4 linked regions of the Drosophila melanogaster genome follow. The main gene of each other region encodes a partner of the protein of the gene in region 4 in a complex. Each region holds a gene or a part of one and is shown on either strand. Other genes may lie near its edges.

What was found.
Region 1: eIF3e (region 4) and eIF3i share a complex: the UniProt entries of both Drosophila melanogaster proteins name them as parts of the eukaryotic translation initiation factor 3 (eIF-3) complex.
Region 2: eIF3e (region 4) and eIF3f2 share a complex: the UniProt entries of both Drosophila melanogaster proteins name them as parts of the eukaryotic translation initiation factor 3 (eIF-3) complex.
Region 3: eIF3e (region 4) and eIF3g2 share a complex: the UniProt entries of both Drosophila melanogaster proteins name them as parts of the eukaryotic translation initiation factor 3 (eIF-3) complex.

The regions. Positions count from the first base shown.
Region 1 is NT_033779.5:4,964,572-4,970,105, reverse strand, and holds eIF3i (eukaryotic translation initiation factor 3 subunit i), read left to right. Parts: upstream 1-2,330; 5' UTR 2,331-2,412; coding exon 2,413-2,415; intron 2,416-2,592; coding exon 2,593-3,082; intron 3,083-3,137; coding exon 3,138-3,625; 3' UTR 3,626-3,739; downstream 3,740-5,534. Other genes in the region: Polr1C (RNA polymerase I and III subunit C), read right to left, coding at 1-821, 882-1,021; Scox (synthesis of cytochrome c oxidase), read left to right, coding at 1,281-1,674, 1,738-2,099; CG34125 (uncharacterized protein), read right to left, coding at 3,832-4,224, 4,284-4,370; CG34124 (uncharacterized protein), read right to left, coding at 4,831-5,418, 5,475-5,534. UniProt on the Drosophila melanogaster protein: Component of the eukaryotic translation initiation factor 3 (eIF-3) complex, which is involved in protein synthesis of a specialized repertoire of mRNAs and, together with other initiation factors, stimulates binding of mRNA and methionyl-tRNAi to the 40S ribosome.
Region 2 is NT_033778.4:6,198,018-6,203,050, reverse strand, and holds eIF3f2 (eukaryotic translation initiation factor 3 subunit f2), read right to left. Parts: upstream 2,199-5,033; 5' UTR 2,135-2,198; coding exon 2,030-2,134; intron 1,974-2,029; coding exon 1,218-1,973; 3' UTR 1,095-1,217; downstream 1-1,094. Other genes in the region: CG30431 (uncharacterized protein), read right to left, coding at 1-104; CG30432 (uncharacterized protein), read left to right, coding at 4,832-5,033. UniProt on the Drosophila melanogaster protein: Component of the eukaryotic translation initiation factor 3 (eIF-3) complex, which is involved in protein synthesis of a specialized repertoire of mRNAs and, together with other initiation factors, stimulates binding of mRNA and methionyl-tRNAi to the 40S ribosome.
Region 3 is NT_033777.3:20,405,981-20,410,878, reverse strand, and holds eIF3g2 (eukaryotic translation initiation factor 3 subunit g2), read right to left. Parts: upstream 2,615-4,898; 5' UTR 2,553-2,614; coding exon 1,731-2,552; 3' UTR 1,636-1,730; downstream 1-1,635. Other genes in the region: Tmlh (trimethyllysine hydroxylase), read left to right, coding at 3,056-3,245, 3,305-4,209. UniProt on the Drosophila melanogaster protein: RNA-binding component of the eukaryotic translation initiation factor 3 (eIF-3) complex, which is involved in protein synthesis of a specialized repertoire of mRNAs and, together with other initiation factors, stimulates binding of mRNA and methionyl-tRNAi to the 40S ribosome.
Region 4 is NT_037436.4:16,782,892-16,788,705, forward strand, and holds eIF3e (eukaryotic translation initiation factor 3 subunit e), read right to left. Parts: upstream 4,051-5,814; 5' UTR 3,943-4,050; coding exon 3,853-3,942; intron 3,759-3,852; coding exon 3,366-3,758; intron 3,280-3,365; coding exon 2,455-3,279; 3' UTR 2,351-2,454; downstream 1-2,350. Other genes in the region: CG9706 (uncharacterized protein), read left to right, coding at 418-1,821, 1,987-2,160; CG9674 (uncharacterized protein), read right to left, coding at 5,519-5,652, 5,771-5,814. UniProt on the Drosophila melanogaster protein: Component of the eukaryotic translation initiation factor 3 (eIF-3) complex, which is involved in protein synthesis of a specialized repertoire of mRNAs and, together with other initiation factors, stimulates binding of mRNA and methionyl-tRNAi to the 40S ribosome.

The sequences.
Region 1 (5,534 bases), on a different chromosome or scaffold from region 4:
TCTTCAATACCTTGACCGCCTCCAGGAAGATGACATCGGGCTTCAGTGCGCCGACTGATTCCACGGAGAAAATGTAGTGATCTCGGATACGGGCCAAAGTCACAGCGTCGTTTAGCTGGGGATAGCGATACACATTTCGGCTGCACGTGTCGTAGCGTGCATCCTTTACATAGGCAGTTTCATTCTCGTCAATGCCAATTACTCCTGGTGAGAAACAGTTCTGTAATAGGTACGCATCCTTACCGGTCACCTCGCGGTTCAGCTTAATCATGGGCAGCAGTCGGTAGGTGGCCGTGGCCACCGGCGAGAATTTCGCGTGATCCCGTCCAAGTCCCTTAACCGCCACCAGGCGCAGATCCAACTCGTGACCCGGACGCAATTGGGCAATCAGTATGTCATCGTGAATGCAGTTCACAGCACTCTCGCTGTATATCTGCGCCTGCTTTCCTTTGGGCAGCCACTTCAGATGACCCGAGTACACTTTGTGGTTTTTGTAAATGTCATCGAAGTTGGACTGATCTTTTCCAGCATCCCGTCGCCGCGAGCACTTCACCTTCAGCTCAAATTCAAGCGTATCCTGCTCGGTCCCCGCCTCAGTGCTTTCCTCGGTGCGGTATGCGAATAGACGGGGATCAGCCCGCAACGGAAGTAGACCCATTCGATGGGCAAGTACCTCGTCCTGGATGATCGAGGTGTTGTTGTATATGTACACCTTTTCGATGGCCATGCTGGGCACATCGCTGAGCATCAGGCGACGGAAGGCATTTGCAATGGCGGGATACACGCCAATCAGATCGAACTCCAGGCCGTCTTCGTCGTTTCTAGAAGTGAACACCAATTGTTAATCGACTCGTAAGATTCTAATTTCTATTGAGATTTACCTGACGATTTTGATGTGCAGCTTTTCCTTGAAAGCCTGAACGGAAAATACATCGTCCGCCAGTCCATAGTCCTGCGGATCCTGCTTCACCCGATACTCCTCCATGTACAGAAGCGGCTCCTTGCGATTTTTGCTTGCCATTTGCCCCGGTGTTTTTATTAAATAATTTAACAAAATTGAACCGCACGTGTTGGAATCAATAAGACCGCCTTCTAATACCAAAATATACCAAACTAACTAACAAACTAACTAATATACTAAATAAATATACTTTATGTACTAAATAAATGCTGTTTCGCCGTGACTGGCTGAATAGGAAGAAGCAGCAGGACACCGGCGATATTTTTATTTCTCCAGAAGATTTACGTAAAGCCTTCAAATTTCTGAAACCGGGCGTAAGATGTCCCGCTCCCTGCAACGCTTAGTGGGCAGCTGTCGTCGCTGGGCACAACAGCCCGCAATTCGTCATTATGCCGCTCCCGCAGATTCCACTAAAGGCAAGGGTCCGATCTCTTGGAGAAGTCTGGCCGTCATTGGAGCCCTTGGAGCCGGAGGAGTGGGCTTCATGCTGTACGTGAAGAGCGAGAAGGATGAGGCGAGAATGAAGGAGCGTCAGCGGCAATTGGGAAAAGCAGCCATCGGCGGCAGTTGGGAATTAGTTGATTCGCAGGGAGCTGTTCGCAAATCGGAGGACTTCTTAGGCAAGTGGCTGCTCATCTATTTTGGCTTCACCCACTGCCCGGATATTTGTCCCGATGAGCTAGAGAAGATGGCCGCCGTCGTCGATGAAGTTGGTAAGTAGAGCCTGACTATTTCTTCCAAACCCAAAAAAAACCATGTTTCTCAAACCTTCACAGAAAAGTCCCCGCAAACGCCAGCAGTGCAGCCCATCTTTATCACCGTTGACCCAGAACGTGACTCCAAAGAGGTGGTGGCCAAATACGTAAAAGAGTTCTCCCCCAAACTGCTGGGACTCACGGGAACCGTCGAACAAATCCGCAAAGTGTGCAAGGCCTTCAGGGTTTATTTCAGCGCTGGACCGCGGGACGAGGACAACGATTATATTGTGGATCACACCATCATCATGTACCTGGTCAATCCCGATGGCGAGTTTGTCGATTACTACGGCCAAAATCGGGACAAGGACCAGTGTGTGGCATCCATTTTGGTGAACATAGCCAAGTGGAATTCAATGAACAAAAAGGGATGGTTCAGCTAGGCTGGCTAAGCTAGGCAAATGTTGTTTCGTTGTATTTACTTAATGTATGGCATAAAATATGGTTTTTACTTGATGTATATCAAGTTTTAAATCCAAATTTTCGTTTATATTGGCTATACCTTAAGTTCTAGATTGTAAAAATTTCTGGTTGTTCAAAATAAACTTGATTAACGGTATTTTTTAGATCCCCCTGGTATATCGAAGTGAGATTTTGACTAGGCCACGGTCACACTGCTCTTTTGGCGTGTAGTGCTGCGTGGATGTTGTTGCAAAAATATTCGTTTTCTCGCAACAAATAACAATATAATACAAAATGGTGCGTGCCTGGTCAATGACTACACAGTTTGCATTATTCCGGATGGGTTTCTTTAGAATTTACCCGAAATTACAACTATTTGCAAAGTGTGAAAGTCGTGTGAAATTCCGGACCAAACATAACCTTAAAAGCGGCCTAAATTGTTGCTAAAAATTCGTATTATTCTGTCTTTTATAGCGTCCGTTGATGCTTCAGGGCCACGAGCGTTCCATAACGCAAATCAAGTACAACCGCGAGGGCGACCTGCTCTTCTCCTGCTCCAAGGATCAGAAGCCCAATGTGTGGTACTCGCTGAACGGAGAACGTTTGGGCACCTACGATGGTCACCAGGGTGCGGTCTGGTGCCTGGATGTGGACTGGGAGAGCCGTAAGCTCATCACCGGCGCCGGTGATATGACCGCTAAGATCTGGGACGTCGAGTACGGCACCGTTATCGCCTCCATTCCGACCAAGTCATCGGTGCGCACCAGCAACTTCAGCTTCTCGGGCAACCAGGCAGCCTACTCAACGGACAAAGCGATGGGACAGAGCTGTGAACTGTTCCTCATCGATGTCCGCAACGCCGATTCCTCGTTGTCGGAGCAGGAGCCCACACTCCGCATCCCGATGACCGAGTCCAAAATTACGTCGATGTTGTGGGGTCCTCTGGATGAGACCATCATCACAGGTTGGTGTTTACCCGATAATCTATTATGAAAACCGTTTAAAACCCGTATTTCCAGGTCACGATAATGGCAACATTGCCATCTGGGACATCCGTAAGGGTCAAAAGGTGGTTGACTCTGGCACGGATCACAGCGCTGGCATCAACGACATGCAGTTGAGCAAGGATGGCACCATGTTTGTGACCGCCTCCAAGGACACCACCGCCAAATTGTTCGATTCGGAGTCCCTGATGTGCCTCAAGACCTACAAAACGGAGCGTCCAGTAAACTCGGCGGCCATCAGCCCAATCATGGATCATGTCGTGCTGGGCGGCGGTCAAGATGCCATGGAGGTGACCACTACGTCTACGAAGGCTGGCAAGTTTGACTCGCGCTTCTTCCACCTGATATACGAGGAGGAGTTCGCCCGACTCAAGGGCCATTTCGGACCCATCAACAGTTTGGCCTTCCATCCGGACGGCAAGAGTTACGCCTCGGGCGGAGAAGATGGTTTCGTGCGTGTCCAGACATTCGATAGTACATACTTTGAGAACATCTTCGAGTAGTTTGTATCCAGTAGTGATTTAGTAGGATCAGAGCCGGTGGACTTAACATAACCATTTCACCGGCGACATGTTCGTTTGCTTAGGGAACTTTCAAATATACGCGAGGACGAAACGAAACGGATCGCGTCGTTTATTTTTATAACATCAAAGGAGTGGAAAGAGGTACAACATGATTATATTCGAGTAAATGGTGTGCCATGTGTAACCTAAAAAAAGGAACGCTTTTTTTGCTTGAGAACCACAGGCTGACCCTGCATGGCCGCCCACTGAGCCGGTGTGGGCAGGCAGCCCGGCGGAGGAGGCGGAATGACGACATTTCCGTTGGAATTTGTCCTCACCTCGGCCCGTGAGTCCAAGTGGAGGACCTGTGCTGCAGCTGCTCCTGCCGACGTACTGGGACCAGCAAGTCCGAAGCCACTGCCATGTGTCATACCGTAGTTGGGCTGCCCGCTGAAGGGCATCTGCTGTTGCTGGTGGCTGATCATGCCGTAATACTGATTCTGGCTGGGCGGAGCACCTCCTCCTTGTGGATAGCCATAGGCACCAGCACCGGTGCCGCCGTTTCGCTGGCTTTCTTCATACGTTGGCGGAGGAGCTCGCTAGAAGTCGCAAAACTTTAGATGGCGACTGGTATTTGATAATCAAATTAACTTATTACCATGGCCATGTCATCGCCGGAATGGCGATAGTCGTAAGCGGGAGCACTTCCCTCGCTTGGTGGACCTGCTTTTGATGGCTTCGACATCTTATCTCGTCTGTAATTTGAAGTTGCACTTTGTTTACTTGCAGTTTCTCTGAGTCACAAACAGGGTTGTCAGCTCATCGAGATTAGTGATGTCGTAAAGTTTTCCCGTCAGATCTGGATTTATTCGAAATTTATTTTCTGCACGCGAATTGCTATTTTATTTCTTTGGCGTTTTAAAATAAATAAAAAATGGGAATAATATGTCCCTCACAATTTATTAGTAAATTTTTGAGTTGTGCTATTAGGACGCCAGTTATTGAAACACACGCTTTTACAAATAATTCAAAATCAGATTTAAAGATGTTCTATGGTAAAATATACATGTTTGGGTCACCTTTTTCGAAATTCAAAGTGAAGTCTACAAAAAAATATGTATTGAGTTACTTTTTGTAAATCGATGTTGTCAAGTTCCAAAAATAATTAATTTTTGAATTTCTACCAAAGTATTTGATATGGATGTCTAGAAAGGAAGCCCACTGCTGGTTCCTGGCTTTTTCGTGGCGATCCTCACCGACATGGGCGACTCGCAACTGGGCTGCTTATATTGCCGCCTTTTTATCAGGTCTCTTTGAATGGAGCTTCCCAGGCTGCGAATGGGCACCGCTGTAATCCCATCGATCAGATTCTCCCGGGCGTGCTGGAGCGTGCTATCGATCAGCTGCTCCACGGCTATGGCTCGAGGATCCACCATCGGTTCACGCTCCAGCACGTCCACAATCATGCGCAGGGTCTCGTCCGCCTGGAACTCCTCCAGCGGCAGCACCTCAATCAGCTCTTTGAACATGTGAGCGACGATGAAGTGGGTGCGGTTCACAACCTCGGAGTCGCCCATATGGACATGAGCGCACAGCGAGTCCTTGGCGTGATCGAAAATTCCGGATATCAGCTCCTCGGTGTTCACATCAGAGCGTTCGTAGTCGAACACAGCCACCACCTCGTTGAATAGCTTGCGAAGCTCCTCGTTGCTGATGTGGATGAAGTACTTCTTCGGCACAAACGTCTGCAGATGCTCCGTTATGCACTCGGCTATGCGATCCGTGTACCGACCCTAAAATATAACCTTTGGTAAGATTGAGTAAACTAATTGCTTTTAGATCTAATCACCTGGAAACTGTAGGCGGCCTGGCACAAATAAAGCGAGGAGCGCTGGGCAAACTTGCGCAC
Region 2 (5,033 bases), on a different chromosome or scaffold from region 4:
ACCGCCAGCTGGCTAGAGGCGTCATAGAGACTGTGGTAGAGCGGCGGCTGCTCCAGCAGGCAGCAGCGGCAGACGAGCGGGTGGTGCGGCAGCAGCGAGAGCATAATACTTAGTTGCCGAAATCCGGACGGACGATCGCGGTTTACACTGTGAGTTCAATCAAGGAAGCCCCGATCTATACGGACGATTGGCATAGTTGTTTTCCTTGCGTTGTAGTCTTAGCTCAGTCTACTTGGGTTTTCATTTTGAAATCGGATCTCATTACGGTTTTACCACAGGCTTAATACTTCGTGCGTCTGCTCGGATCGCCGGTCGCTGGACGTCTGAGGGTGTGGATCCGCATCTAATCCACTCCTCAGAGCAGCGATGTCTATCAGGAAAGGCGACCGGGGCACACCGATAGCCCTTGGCTTGAGCGATAAGTCAGAGGCGGCGGAGGCGTCGGTTCGTCTGAGGGGTGGGGGCGCAGAGAGACAACGGGAGATTCGTCTGAGGAGAGGGGTGTCGTAGGGCTACTATCGACGGTCAACGTCAACGTTTGCTAATTTTCAGTTCGTTCCAGCTAATTGATTGCCCCGGTGGACATCCGCCGACTGTCCCTGAACCGCGATAAGGCGTTATTATCTCGGCATTATTTGGGTGGTCCACATCCCCGACACCCCCACCACCTTTCCACTACCATCCTCCGCCGTGCCCTCTTCGTCGAGATTTGAACAGACCGAAATAGATCTGTACTGGACCTTATCACCGTCCGTAGAGATCATCATTCCGCCGCGGGTTTCCCAGCACTGTTGTTGTATTTACCGCAAACTTTTTGGTGCTTAAACGGCCAAAGGAGTTGGCGAAATGACTCGCTTTCTCTGAAAATCACTTACCAAAGGGACTAAGATCGGGATGCTGGAAAAGAATGCCGATCAAGCGTTGCCTATAAGGTTTTCGGGCAACGCAACTGTGTAGAACGGGGGAAGCCTTAACGAAAATCATTTGTTTTCGGCACGAGCTTATAATGATCTTAATCGCTGGATGCGATGTTTCTAGACTCCAAAGTTCAGGAGCCGATACTAATTTAATAATTTCTACCGAAGGCTTGCTTTAGTGTGACCTACATCCTCCTTTTAATGAAAGTTCAATTTATTAGGTGGTGTAAATAGCAAAAGGCACCCAAAATAACAATTAAGTGATTGATTCAGTCAATTCAGTCAGTTTTTTGTCATTGTTCACTGATCCTGCATGCAAGACAGTTTCTCGCTGATCTCCAGCTGTGTTTTTATCATTGTGGAAAGAGTGATGGCCATGAGCATATCCCTCAAGTTAGTATTAAACATGACGCGAAATTTGTCCGAGTCCAAAAGCGGCACGGCAGTGAGAGCGGCGTAAAGGGATCTCCCGACTACGTTGTCAGGTTTTTTCTTCCTGGCCAAGACATCGTTGATGTAGCGCAGCACCAAGTCAAGGCGATGTTGCATATCCCTAGTGGCATCCACCACTTGAGCCAACTCTGGGACGAAGCGCTCCATTTGCTTGCTTGCCTGTTGCTGCGATTGCTTTTCTATGCAACGCAGAGCCACCAAATCGGAATTTTCGTTGCTAATCTCCAGTGGAACTAATGAGAACATCAGTCCTTTGGTGCCACCAGGCACTCCCATCTCCACAGCACAGTACAGTCGGGTCGAGAGTCGCTGGTTCTTCAGGGCTGCATCCACTAGCAGGTGCAGTGGCTGTCCTTCGCAGCATTCTCTGACATAATAGTCGTGGATCAGGGACGCGGAGCGGGACACCGATTTCCCAGTGCAGAACCAGCCCAGCACACGCTCGTTCGGATAGGCGAACATATTTAGCTCTAGGACCTCGGAGGCATATGCCATATCCAGATCAATGCGTTTGTTCTCCGAATGCTCCTTGTGCGGCACAGTAAAACAGTTTGTGATCTCGATGTGGCCCTCCTTGTTGCGACCCAGCAAAGTGCCCATAACCTTTGGTTTGATCATTACAAGATTAGTGGACAGGAGATGAATGCGCGCACACCTACCTGATTGTCACCTTTTGGTCGGCGATCGTATGCGTCAATAATTTGGAAAAACACCAACGGCTTTAGATACACCTTAGCTCGCATGCTAAAATTCCTAGACATCATGAGTTACAAAAAAAATTAAGTTGGAAAAGAAACTTAGCAAAGCAAACTTGGCTGCGCTTGTGCCTCCCCTCGATCCAGTGTTGTAAAATGTAAATATAACTTAAAAGGGCACGTGCCAAAATGTGCTCACCTATTTCGTTGCCTTGCTATTTAGAAACTTGCCTATTTAGAAACATTTTGAAATGGTAAACAGAAAAAACAAGCTTAAAATAATTTTAAATTAAGCATCATACATTATTTTACAGTTGTGTATGCTATAAGAACATAATAACAAAAATTAAAAACATTCTGCCTTTTTACCATATATGTATATAGTTTAAAATTTAGTAAATGTCTGTTAAAACGACTCTTAATTTACGTGCATGAGTTTGTTACGGATAGCCATGGGTATTTCGTGTATCAATACCTTGTGAAATGGGAATCTCACCAAGTATCAATGGCAGTGTTCCTTGCTCCTCCCATATTTCGCATACGGCATAATGACTTTAATTTCATACTCATACAAATTTCAATTGGCGCCCTATATTAAAAACTCAGTTAAGGTGGTAAACAAATCAGACTGGTAAAACGTTTACATAGCAAAACCAATGAGGCCATTTTGCATGGGAACTAATTTATATATTTTTAATATTTTAAAAAAATATATTTATATAGCCGTCAATGAATATTGTTACCCAAATTCGTGATAATTCTTCTTTTATGTCGAGTGTATATTTTATTAGAAAATGTACAAGACTTTTAATTTAAAAACTATTCCCTGCAAAGTAAATTCATCGATGAATAACCAAATATGCATATTGCTATAAGCCCAACATATTGCATTATAAAAATCGGCCATCTACGGCGTAGATCTTACACGCAGGTCTTGTTTGAAGCAAGAAGAATCGATTGTAAAACTCCCGCTTCTTAAAACGGTTTTAGCTCGATAACGGAATATTTTATTCAATCCTCGGCAATTTCCATCTTATACCTGTCGGTCGTAAAGCATAAGGGTAAACTAGATAGATTGCTAGAAAAGGATGTGTCAGGTAGGAGGAAGCGTATCCCGTCTTGTAAAGTAAATCCTCCTACCGTGCATCTGTCTGCCTATCTAAATGAATGTAGAGATCTCGGGAACTTATCTAGGGAGTGCATTAAGCATGCAGATTCTAACAACACCACTAAAATTATGTTACTCTAAAACGTAAATTTAAGTTTATTCTTAAAAATCGTTGATTTAAATTTTTATACGGATTTCATAAGCTTTAATTAATCATATGTGGTTAATGTAAATGCAAAATGGGCTGGATAAGAATGTTAATTTATTTATTAAGTACTAAAAATGTAAATTCCTTAAATGGCAACCATGTTAAACATAAGCAGAGATTTAATGAATGCAGACCGTGAGCACAAATCACAAATTAAGTGTGAACTTGAACCTCCATCAAGATGCCTCCAAATTATTTCCGAAAGCGACAAGTGTAACGCTAAGAAAAAGTACACCTAGTAAGGCGATAGTTTTATATTCTTTTTGGAAAATATAAAAATTAGTACCATTAACAGCTTTGGAGTCCGAGTTAAGCCTTATTATTAAAGAGTTTGAATGAACATTTAATCTAACGAATTAACATTGTTACATACTCTTGTGTCAAACAATTGTTGCAAAATGTGATATAATAATAAAGTAATGGGACGTAAGATTGATATCTAAAAACTTAAAATAATTTATATAATTTTTTGTAATTTTTTTAAATTTCCCATCGATCTCTTCGATTATAAATCTACTATAAAAGAAACACACAATACTAAAAGTACATTTTATTATTTTCTTTTACTGCGATTCTTAAAAATTATATATTACTTTAGTTGCCATGTAAATATTAAGAAATTCAAAAATTGTTGGTTTTAAAACAGGAATATTAACTTTTTGCAGCGTCTGAATCTTTTCCTCGAATCATTATACATGGAAATAATATTGTCACGTCCAACATGTCACGTTCGACATATCATTGCGTGTGGATTAAATAACTCGATTGAAGTAACCAGTTCTGAAAAGTTAATTATTTTTCTAAAATTAATTATTTGAAAACATAAATGGATTATGGGAAGGTACGTGCTGTTAAACCAATGAACTTTGTCCGGCCGTAGTGAAGATAAAGTTATATATAAGTATCTATCAATATCTATTTAACAATATTAAAAAAAAAGGTAGACTGCTACAGTCGACTTCCCCGACTATCAGATACCCGCTACACAGATGGTAGAAATGCGAACGCAAAATTTCATTATTATACTCGTTATTCGTAGAGTAAAAGGGTATACTAAATTCTTTGAAAAGTATGTAACAGGCAGAAGGAAGCGTTTCCGACCATATGAAGTATATATATTCTTGATCGAGATCAATAGCCGAGTCGATCTGGCCATGTCCGTCTGTCCGTATAAATGTGCAGATCTCAGGAACTATAAAAGCTAGGAGGTTAAAATTCACCATACAGATTCTAGAGACAGAGTCGCAGCGCAAGATTGGGTTTGGCAACTTGAATTAACAAACTAGCGTTCGACAAGAGCCGAAGATCACGAAGATATATAGTTTATATGCCTGTTACAAACTTTTCAACGAATCTAGTACACTTTACTCTACGAGTAACGGGTATAATCAGTCAGTTATTAGAAACCTGTCAAATCAGTGAACAAATCTTTTTCTCTAGTATCGCCGGCATGGAAGGCCGCAAAGAATTTCTGAATATTTTGTTGGTCATACAAATCATCTACATTGTGCCGGTTGGGATTATATGTTTGGTGATCGTGGCGTTTCAGGTGACGGGCTATCGTCTCAATGACTTTGTACTTTTCTCCTATATGAACTACATAGAGCAACAAGCCCGTTCGTACACTCCGGAATCTTGGGATAAAGGACTCA
Region 3 (4,898 bases), on a different chromosome or scaffold from region 4:
AGTGCGAGTCGGTTGAATATATTATATTCTTTCATCGTTTTTATTTGCTTGGGGGCTTTGTTGTTGTGGCTGGTTCGACAACTGTGTAATTATTTCAGCCATTTTTGAGGGTTTCGTGAGCAGGCGCGCGTGCAATAAAACAGTAAATAACAGTCTACACTTAAAGCGCAACAGAGACCGCGAAGGAGATCGGCCACGAAACGCCAGCAAATGGCATATTTGAATATTCAAATGCCCCCGAGAGTTTCAACGCCGTCGAGTCGATGGCCTGTTTCTGCGGTACCCTGTACAATGGGGGAGATGGGGTGAACTGCACTGTAGTGCACAGGGCGTATGAAGAATATTTCAAAATACATAATGTGCTGTGTGCGTATACTTAATGGGATAGCTTTCTGGATTATTTAATTCTTATTCTAATTAAAATTATTTATGCTAAATTTTATACATTATTTAGCCTCTATTCAAATGTGTTTTGTTAGAAGTTACGACAGGTAAAACTTAAAAATTAAAAAGTTGAATAGGAACATGGATTCTTTTAAAAAAGTTTGTAAATATCCGTTATTGGAATGAGTTTGCTTACTTTAAATACCACTTTAACTCCAACTACTGGGTATTTCTTATTTAACATTTGACTTTTAATCTTCTGTTTGTTTTTCTCTGGAAGAGTGAGTGAGTGTGCGTGCGGTGAGCGCACATGACCTGAAGGTGCAAACTGAAAAAGAAATGCGTGGCCGAGGGCGTTCTCCTTACCAGGGCGCCTCATACCCCCAACTACCCCCCCCCCCCCCCACAATGCTAACTAACCTGTCAAGCCGCCCACCTGGCCACCCATTCATTCGCCTTCCACCTATTCATTCTGCCGCTCAAACAAAGGCCGGGGACGAACGAATGAGCGCGCCGCAGAAAAAGTTAATTTATAAATTATTCAGTAATTTGTTTTAGACTCTGCTTTAGCTGCTACCCATCCCATACCACCGCAACAGCAACAACAATGGAAATAAATTTCTTTTGTGCCTGGCTTTGATCCGCCCCTCATTCAAAATGTGTATCTAAGCCGGGACTTTCCCGCGAACACTATCCACCGACCACTCATTCCCGGTTCAACGTCATGGTCGCGTAGTTGGCGTCCCGTTCTGAGGGGCTCCGCTCCAAGTATCGTGCGCATAAGTCCGCTCTTATATTTAATTATTAATGTTCATTCGGTCCGGCCAGCGTCTTGTGGCATTTCTCAGCTCTTGCCGGGAACGCCGTGCCATCATCATCCGGCACCACGTTGGCTTCCATTTAAGTGGCTTTCACCTTTGTACGGCTGCGGAGCACGGCGAAAAAATCGCATTTAAAACGGAGCATTATCGGCTTTAGTTCGCTCAAGGCGAGCTTTCTCTTTTATGCACTTAAAAAAAGCATCCACCTTGGATGTCCAAGGGTATATCAACTCGAAAATTGAGTGGTCCCAAATGAACCAGACTGTTTTTAACAATTTTCATATCTATCTCAATTCATATCCTTTGCTCAACTGAAAGATGAAAAAATCTACTACGAAACATTAATAAATAGATTTTATATTATTATTAATATATTCTCTGTAATTATCGAATGTGTGCAAATTAAAAATAAAAGTGGTCGCATATTTTGCAGGGTGTACCAGAATTTTATTTTGATTTCACTGCCACCGCAGCTCATTTCCGTTCTCGAATAAGCAGAGAAGCGAATACACAAGGCTATAGCCATTACGGCTGAGGCTTGGACCACTCGACGCAGAGGATCAAGTGGTCGTAGCCGTGGCCATTAAGAACCTCAATGGCGGCAGCTGCATCCTGGCGGAACTTGAAGTGCACGTAGGCGAATCCCTTGCAGAGGCCGCTGTTTTTTTCGCGCGCCAAATACATCTTGGTGTGTGGTCCGATTTTCTTTACCAGCTCCTCGAGATCAGTCTCGGTCATGGATTCGGATAGGTTTGAGATGCGAACTGCCGACGAATCGTCCCGATCCCGACCCCGTCCCCAATTTTTGCTGCCAGATATGCCTCCGCCGTCCTTCATGAAGGGTGGTACATATTTTCCGGTCTTGCTGGGATCACTTATAGCGGCAGCTGCAGCGGCATTGGCCTTGGTTTCCATCACGGTTTTGCTATCCATCGAGGTGCCCTTGTAGGGACAATTGACACTCCAGTGTTCGCCATTGCAAATGCGGCACTTGGCGATGTTCTTGCCGGGATCAAGTTGGGTTTCGTGGGTCTGGTCGAAATCTTTGGAGCCGATGAATTGCATAAAGATCTCCTCGGAGGCCATTGTCGTCTGGGAATTGGGTCCGGGCTTGTCCGATCGCGAATCCCCAAACTTAACCCAGTTGCGACGACGAGCCACAGCCTTCGGAACAATCTGCTTCTCGATCTTGAAGGTTCGCACCACTTTCACCTTCTTGCCATCATCGTTGAACTTATACTCCGTCACGTACTTGAAGTCGCCCTTAATGTACTCATTAGAAGGCGGCAGTCCATCCACATAGTCCGCATCCACCTCATCGGCCCAGGAAGTAACGAAAGTCTTCATTTTTTATGATTTCCCACACAACCGGTACAAAATGAATTAAAAACTTAGAGATCTCTAGTTTTAGAGAGAGTTTTTCCATTTGAATTTTACTTGGCCTGTTGAGATGGGAAAAAATCCCTTTCAATAAAAGATATTTGAAATTAATATTTATATTTTCTTTAAAGTAATGATTTTTTAATAAAAAATACAACAACTTGAGTAGCAATTCACTAAGATAACTTTGCAACAAAAACATACCATTCAATCAATCTTGATTAAATTATAAATTTTTTTACTTTCATGAGTTGTTCTTAATAATTACATATTGTCTTTAAATTCAATAAATTTATTAATCTTATAGTTATTCCGTAAACAAATAAGTTCTTATCTCTGACTTGAGCATGAAAGTAATCGCTCTCCTACTGATAACAGTACAATTAAAACCGAGCTGAAACTTAATCAAACTTTGAGCTGTTAGTTCACTTTCACTGCTCTAGTCCGTCGGTTGTTCTATTGGCATTAACATGTTGCTTTTGAAGCACCCGAAAACCAGCCAATCAATAGAAATCAATGAGTTTTGGCTCCGTGATCATTGTCGATGTGTGGAGTGTCTAAATTTCGAAACAAATCAGAGGCGATACGATGTCTTAGATCTACCAGCTGATATAATGCCACTAGATGTCAAATACGACGGGATGAATCTACAAGTGCAGTGTAAGAAAAAATTGATGTAAAATGCACCTAGCTTCGATTTTATTGGCCTGCCATTTTAGGGAGTGATGCTCACAAGTCGAACTATGACCTGGACTTTATCTTCGACTCACAGCTGGAGAGGTTGATAGGTCGGCGATCAAAGTCCACTAATCTGACACCATGGAATCGTAGCATTATCTTGCAAAACGAACGGCACTTACGATTCCCATTGCCCCAGCTGGTTTCCAGTGATAACGAAGTCAGATCCCTGGTTGAATCTCTGGTGCGTTATGGCATTGTCTTTATCGATGATGTGGCTCCCACCGCGAATATGACAGAATTGGCTCTGCGACGAGTTTTCCCCCTTATGAAAACGTTCTTTGGCGAAATGTGGACTTTTAGCGATAACCCCGATCACGCGGACACCGCTTATACCAAACTTTACCTGGGTTCCCATACGGATAATACCTATTTCTGCGATGCAGCCGGACTACAGGCTCTACATTGCATTGAGCACTCGGGATCGGGTGGCGAAAATTTCTTTGTTGATGGTCTGCATGTGGTTCACGAACTGAAACGCCGGTATCCCGCCGCTTATGATGTACTGTGCAGTGTCCAAGTTCCTGGAGAGTACATCGAAAAAGGGGAGCACCACTACCACACTGCCCCCATTATACAGGTGGATCCACTGACTCAGGAATTTGTTCAACTCAGACTAAATGTATATGATCGCGCCGTGTTTAATACCATCCCTCAAGCCGAAATGGCCGAGTTCTATGACAGTCTTCGCCAGCTTTTGCTAATCGTCAGGGATAAGCAACAGCAGTGGGCTCTCAAGCTATGTCCCGGCAGCATTGTTCTTTTCGATAACTGGAGAGTGCTCCATGGTCGAGAGGCATACACAGGAAGTCGTACCATGTCCGGTTCCTATGTGCAGCGCACAGATTTTCTCAGCAAGGCTCGAGTGCTGGGAATTATTGACTGAAAGCTTATTGAAAAATACCTAATGTATACCGAATTAAAACCTTTTATGAACTAAGAAATTATGATTTATTTTCTATACTTTCTAGTGCTCCGCATATTCCTTCAGCAATCATTTATGTATTATATGGTCCGTACCGACTTTTATACTTTTTGCAATGGGAAAGTTTCATGCGGATAACTTTAACACTGAGAGATTATTTTGTGGATAGAAGAACATTTAACATTGATCAATAATATATATACTTTACATGTTCGTAGCTGACTCCTTCACTTCGATGCAAGATACTGGCTTAAATCAACATCCTTTCTGCATATATATAAGTTTGCTTTTGATTGCTCAAATAAGAACATATTTTAAATTCGGTTCATATATCAGGAATAGCATACATTGTTAAAGAATCGTTGCGTATAGAAAAAAACACGCAAATTGTTCAAGCATATTTTTCTTTTTTCTGAACCGAGTCCCACTCCAATTCAATTTCGATTGCAAATGCTAACGTATCATAATAAAAAGTTACGATTACAATTGCTGGCCAGCGTCTAATTTTTGTCATAGGGGAGTGGATCGCATACAGAAAACCAGCAACAAAAATCATTTGGCATTTGTTTTTATGGCCAGCGTCTCATGTGGGTTTTCTGTATTTGTGTGCGAGAGTGTGTGTTTGGCATAAACAAACGCACTTTGAACTT
Region 4 (5,814 bases):
ACCAACTCATACTCCTAAAATTATGGATTTCCATTTCGTAAGTCTCCCGCCACTCAGTTTGAATTTCGAATGATTAGTGTGACCATGCGGCGGTTTATAGCAACTGCATGCGTAGTGCGACAGAGAGTTGCTATAAAAATATATTGGAACGTCAACAAACATATGCCACGAAAGAAAATATTCCGATTCAACGGAAAATGAATTAATTAAAGACCGAACTGGCAGATATTCAGAAAGCCATTCGATCGTACATTTAACCAAATTAAAGGCATCGAGGGAATTGTATCGGGAAAATACGTAAAAAGCTCTACATTTGAGTGACGTGGTGTTATTTGTTGGTGATTAGAAAAACAGGTGAGCCTGTGGCCCCCAAACTAGCATGTCTTTATAATATATACCTATCGCTATTTGATCAGCATGTCCGCCATAAGGAGAAAGCCAACGGGCAGCAATGCCGACCAGGAGTTGCTCATCGACGAGCCACCAAAGTCGGAAAAGGTGGCGGAGCACCAGAAACCAGATATTCGTGGAGACCGGAGGAATATAGCCATACTGCTGTTCCTGTACGTTCTACAGGGCATTCCCATCGGGCTCATAGCAGCCATACCAATGTTGCTGCAAAATAGAGGAGCTAGCTACAAACAACAGGCGGAGTTTTCATTCGCCTACTGGCCATTCAGCTTAAAGCTGCTGTGGGCTCCAATTGTGGATTCCCTGTACATCCGGCGATTTGGACGCCGGAAATCGTGGCTAGTCCCAGTGCAATACCTTCTGGGAGCCTTTATGTTACTCCTCTCCCTCCACGTGGATCGCTGGCTGGGCGGGAACGGTGTCGATCCCAATGTGCCGCTCCTGACGCTGCTCTTCTTCCTGCTTAACTTCCTGGCTGCCACTCAGGACATCGCCGTGGATGGCTGGGCCTTGACCATGCTGAAGCGATGCAATGTTGGATACGCATCCACCTGCAATAGCGTGGGCCAAACAGCTGGCTACTTCTTGGGCTATGTGGTGTTCATTGCCCTGGAGTCCAAGGATTTCTGCAACACCTACATAAGAGACGTGCCACTCGAGGATGGCATGATCACATTGCCCCGTTTCCTTTGGTTCTGGGGCATTACATTTGTGGTAGCCACTACTTTGGTGGCAATTTTCAAGAAGGAGAACGACATCGAAGACGCGCATATGGACGCTCGCTACACGGAGGAGCACGAGTTGAACATCCATGAGAGCTACAAGATATTGTGGGACATGGTGTGCATGCGTCCCGTCCAAATTCTGGCTGTAATTCTGCTCACCGTGAAGGTCACGTTCGCAGCCTCTGATGCAGTGACCAGCTTAAAACTCATTGACGCTGGTGTACCGAAGGATAAGCTGGCTTTACTCGCCATTCCCCTAATTCCTCTGCAGCTCATTCTGCCGCTGGCGGTCGGTCGATATACGAACGGACCACGTCCGATGGACGTCTATCTGAAGGCCATTCCCTATCGCATCATCATGGCAACAGTGGCCACTGGCTTGGCCTACATCACACCCTATATTGTCCGTGGAGGAGCCGTGCCTGCTTATTACTACGTCCTGCTGATCACCAGTTATGCCATCTACCAAGTATTCCTGTACTCCATGTTTGTGGCCGCCATGGCCTTTTTCGCCAAGATCTCCGATCCAGCCGTCGGTGGCACTTACATGACATTTTTGAACACATTGTGCAATCTGGGCGGTAATTGGCCCAACACAGTGGTGTTGTGGTTGGTGGACGTGCTCACCTGGAAGCAGTGCTCCAATAATGCGGAAAATACCTGCCAGGGCAAGGAGGAGCAACAGGTGAGTGCTCAGAGAGAGATTCTACAGCATACAAGATTATTATTATTATTGTATATGGATACATATGTATGGTGAAAGTTTTACCCCAAACCAGGAAAAGATAAACTTTGCCAGTTATGAGATAAAAGTAACTAAACAAATATTTTTCTTAATTTTCTCCCGCAGAGCTGTGAAGCGTCGGCTGGCAAGTGCGAGATAACCTTCGATGGGTACTACTTGGAGTCGGGCATTTGCGTTCTGTACGGCATAGTGTGGCTGCTGCTGGTGCGCAAATGGATCGTTTACTTGCAGGACCTGCCCGTCAGATCCTGGTTGGTGGTCAAGCAGAAATCGCGGTAGCAATCAATAGTGTGATCCGGGGCCAGATCGTCATAAAGATCCAGCACCCACTTGTAGGTACAAACAACTAATTCTAGGATTAGCAGACGTTTGCATTCTGTAGGCTAGCGAAATTACAAATTCCCGCCTTGGTATTGTTTTTTGTATAACTAATTTTGATTCCGAAGGAAATAAAATCAAATGTTGAATTGAGCGAATGAGTAAGATGTTAATTTATTCGCTCGACTGCGCGCAATCATCGGTTTTTAAAGGGTACAAAGAGTCTTAACTTAATTGTGGATAAAAAGTCAGCAACTAGTAGTACTTCCAGGAGTCGGCCGACTCCTGATTCTGCTTCTGCTTGCTCTTGCGCTCAATCAAACCTGCCAAATGCTCCGACCGCATGGACAGCGAGTCGATCTTCTCCACCAGCTGCTGATAGGGACTCAAGGGCTGGGTGCCCATCACCACATGACCCAGTTTCGAATCGATCTTGGCATTCAGACGGGCATTGCGGATAAGGTTGACGATCCAGCACTCAGCCTCGTTGGGCTTCATGTTCAGCTTATCGGCCAGCATGCTGATGGTGATGCACTGGTGGATGCGGCAGAATGTCTCGAAGATCATCAAGCGGGCATCCTCCACGAACTCATTCAGGCAGGCCACGATGAAGAAGTCGTTGAGGATCACCGTCTGGCACTCGTGCAGCTTCAGACGCGCTCCCTCGAAATCAAAGTTCACGTACAGACACTCCAGAAACTCGGTGATGGGATCGCGGTACGTGTACGACTCCTGTTGGATCACCTTGATCAAATCCTTTAGAGCATTGCGGCGGGTGCGGTTGATGACTACGGCGGTGGCCAAGTAACGCATGATGTGCGGACACATTGTCTGAATGGCGTTCAAATACAGGGGCTTGTACAGGAACATCTCAATAATGAGATCGCGTCCCTTGGGGTGATTGAAGAAGACCAGGACCGACCAGTGGATCAGCCAGGTGCGTTGCTGCAGGGCCTGGATGGTGCTGAAGTTGGCGTTGTCAATGTAGTCGCGCAAACGCGTCAGATCCTCCAGAGCAGTGTTCCAGTTGAGGGTCAGAATCTCGGCGGCCAGCTTGCCCCACAGCACATTAAGGTAGTTCTGCAAAATTTGGGAGACAATATCAATTAATATTCTTGTTTTAGTGGTTTTTGCCGCTTTTCATGTTAATTTAGCTCCATACGCACCTTGTCGTTGGGCGACATGACGATGAGGCAGAAGTACAGGTAAGAGGTGGACTCCTGATAGTTGCCGCACTCGTAGAGGTACTTGGCCAGCTTGTAGGCGCTCTCCAGGTGCTCCACCTTAAAATTGTAGTCCTTCTGAAGGGCGTTGACGAAGGTCTTCGAGTCCTTCATGCTCTCACCGTTCTTAAGAATGTCGGTGGCCTTCATGATGGGTGCCACCTCGTTCTGCAGCTGCTTAAGCGTGGCCAGGACCTCCGCCTTGCGCTGCACGAGCTCCTCGGGCATCTCCTGGCTGAGATTGAGACGCTTGCGGGTGTCCATCGTGTAATCGATCATGTTCGTCTTGTTCACCGTCTCCAAAATGTACTCCAGCAGCTCCTGCTGGTTGTAGATCTGCAACGAAAGTCACACATATGAAGATTTCCCATAGTTATGTACTGGTGACTCGGCAACCGCCAGCGGAGCACCGCCTGGTCGCTTTTCTAACCTCCTTGCCGCACAAGAACTCCAGCAGCGGGAAGGTCAAATGCCTGTCCAAAAACTGGCAATTGATGCGTGTCAGATCGAAATTGGCCATGATTGCAGCTGTTTTACTATGTTTTCACAATTAAATTTACACGCAAAATCGGCAGAAAAATACGCGTGCGAGGGCCGACAGTGTGCCCAGAGACGAAAAGAGTGACGCCCGCTCAGAGTTACCAGAGTGTGGTATTTCCACGACATTAAATACCATGACCCTGAAGCCGTATTTTTTTCAAGCTTTCAAAGTGGCGCATTTATTTAAAATAAAATTAAGTCATTGAAACAACTTTCAAAAAATACTCAATTTTCAAAATTTCTATTATCTTAGCATGGCTATTATAGCAATAAAAAATTATTATTTCAATTGTGGCGCCCAGACTGAAACCCGGTCTGGCATCACGGCGAAAAGAGGTACTAACGCCAAGACCTTTCCTGGAGGACGATATCTTCTGTCTTCTTATCGTCAGACTGGACACACTGGAACTTCAGCTCCGCTCGTAACAAGCTTACGGCATAAAACAACAAGATATTGTACTTAGTAATTAAATAAAGCGGTAACTACATAAGTTACCATACAATGAATTTAAAGAAATATTATTAAATATTTTCTACATTACAATGGTTTCTCATTCCTTTAAAGTTATACGCTTTACGTAAAATACCAATAATTTTAAATTACAAGGTATACATATAACAAAGGTTTTTAATTTCAAAAAGACGTTGCCTCTCTTTTCAAGCTATTAATAAATATATTTCCCATGCCAAATTCAAAACACAAATATCAACTCATCGGAGAAATGCTTTTTAATAATTTGAATATTTATTTCATCAAATACTTGCACATAAATATATTTATATAGAGATGTCTGTATAAGGGTATACATTTGGGTTAAATATGTTTTGTATAAATTGTGTAATTCTTTGTATTCGCACATTCAACTGCCAAAGAGCAGATTTGTTTTAACAATAGCCACTTAGGTACATTTGCGGTCAACGGTCGAATGCAGTTCAAAACACAAAAACAACATCTAAAAAATGCGTTTCGATATTGGCCGAGTTTAATACATTTCTCTTTCTGTATATACGATTTATGGATTGTATATAGGATGGTGGAGATCAGCATATCAATTTTCACTTCATATATTTCGTTTGCATAGATTAGGCAACTCAAGCTAAAACAACATTGAAAAAATGCATTTTCTAAATATTTAATGTTCAATTAATTTTCATTTTAACGATAACGGTAAGTTTCTAGTTATTGTCCTTAGATTTTTTGTTGGATATTCGATTTCCGTTAAGATATACATATTGATTGGCTTCAATCAGAATTTCAGTTTGCACTCTTAATTGACTCCTGCCGCATCATCATCATCATCATCATCATCATATGGAGGGCATCTCGACGAACCACTAACAATTCCCAGCCAGCTTTGCGATCAAAATAAAACTAAATGAAACGTGTTTCGTTTTGGTTTGGTGTGTAAAAAACTCAAGTCTTTTTAGTGTAAACTAAACTAAAATCGCGAAAATAAAAATCACAAATCGTTAAAGAATTTCGCACTATAGGCTAAGGACGATGCACGCACACAAAACTTGATATTAGCTGCTCTGGCTGCCTCTGTGGATCCTCTTTAGGATGTCGCGATGACGCCACCAGGTCCTGGAAGCCCACTGGGACGGCCGGTCAGATAGGAATCGACCTGTCGTGCGGCCTGGCGACCCTCGGTAATGGCCCAGACGACCAGCGACTGGCCACGCCGGCAATCTGCAAAGGACAGAAGATAAATTAACATTTTTGTTATGCAAAGATACAGAAATCATTCAATGATTGATGTGATTAACTCTTAATACTAAGCCTATTACTTAGTAGACATAAAACTGACCTCCTGCCGCAAAGACCTTGGAGTTCGAGGTGCCATACTGTCCG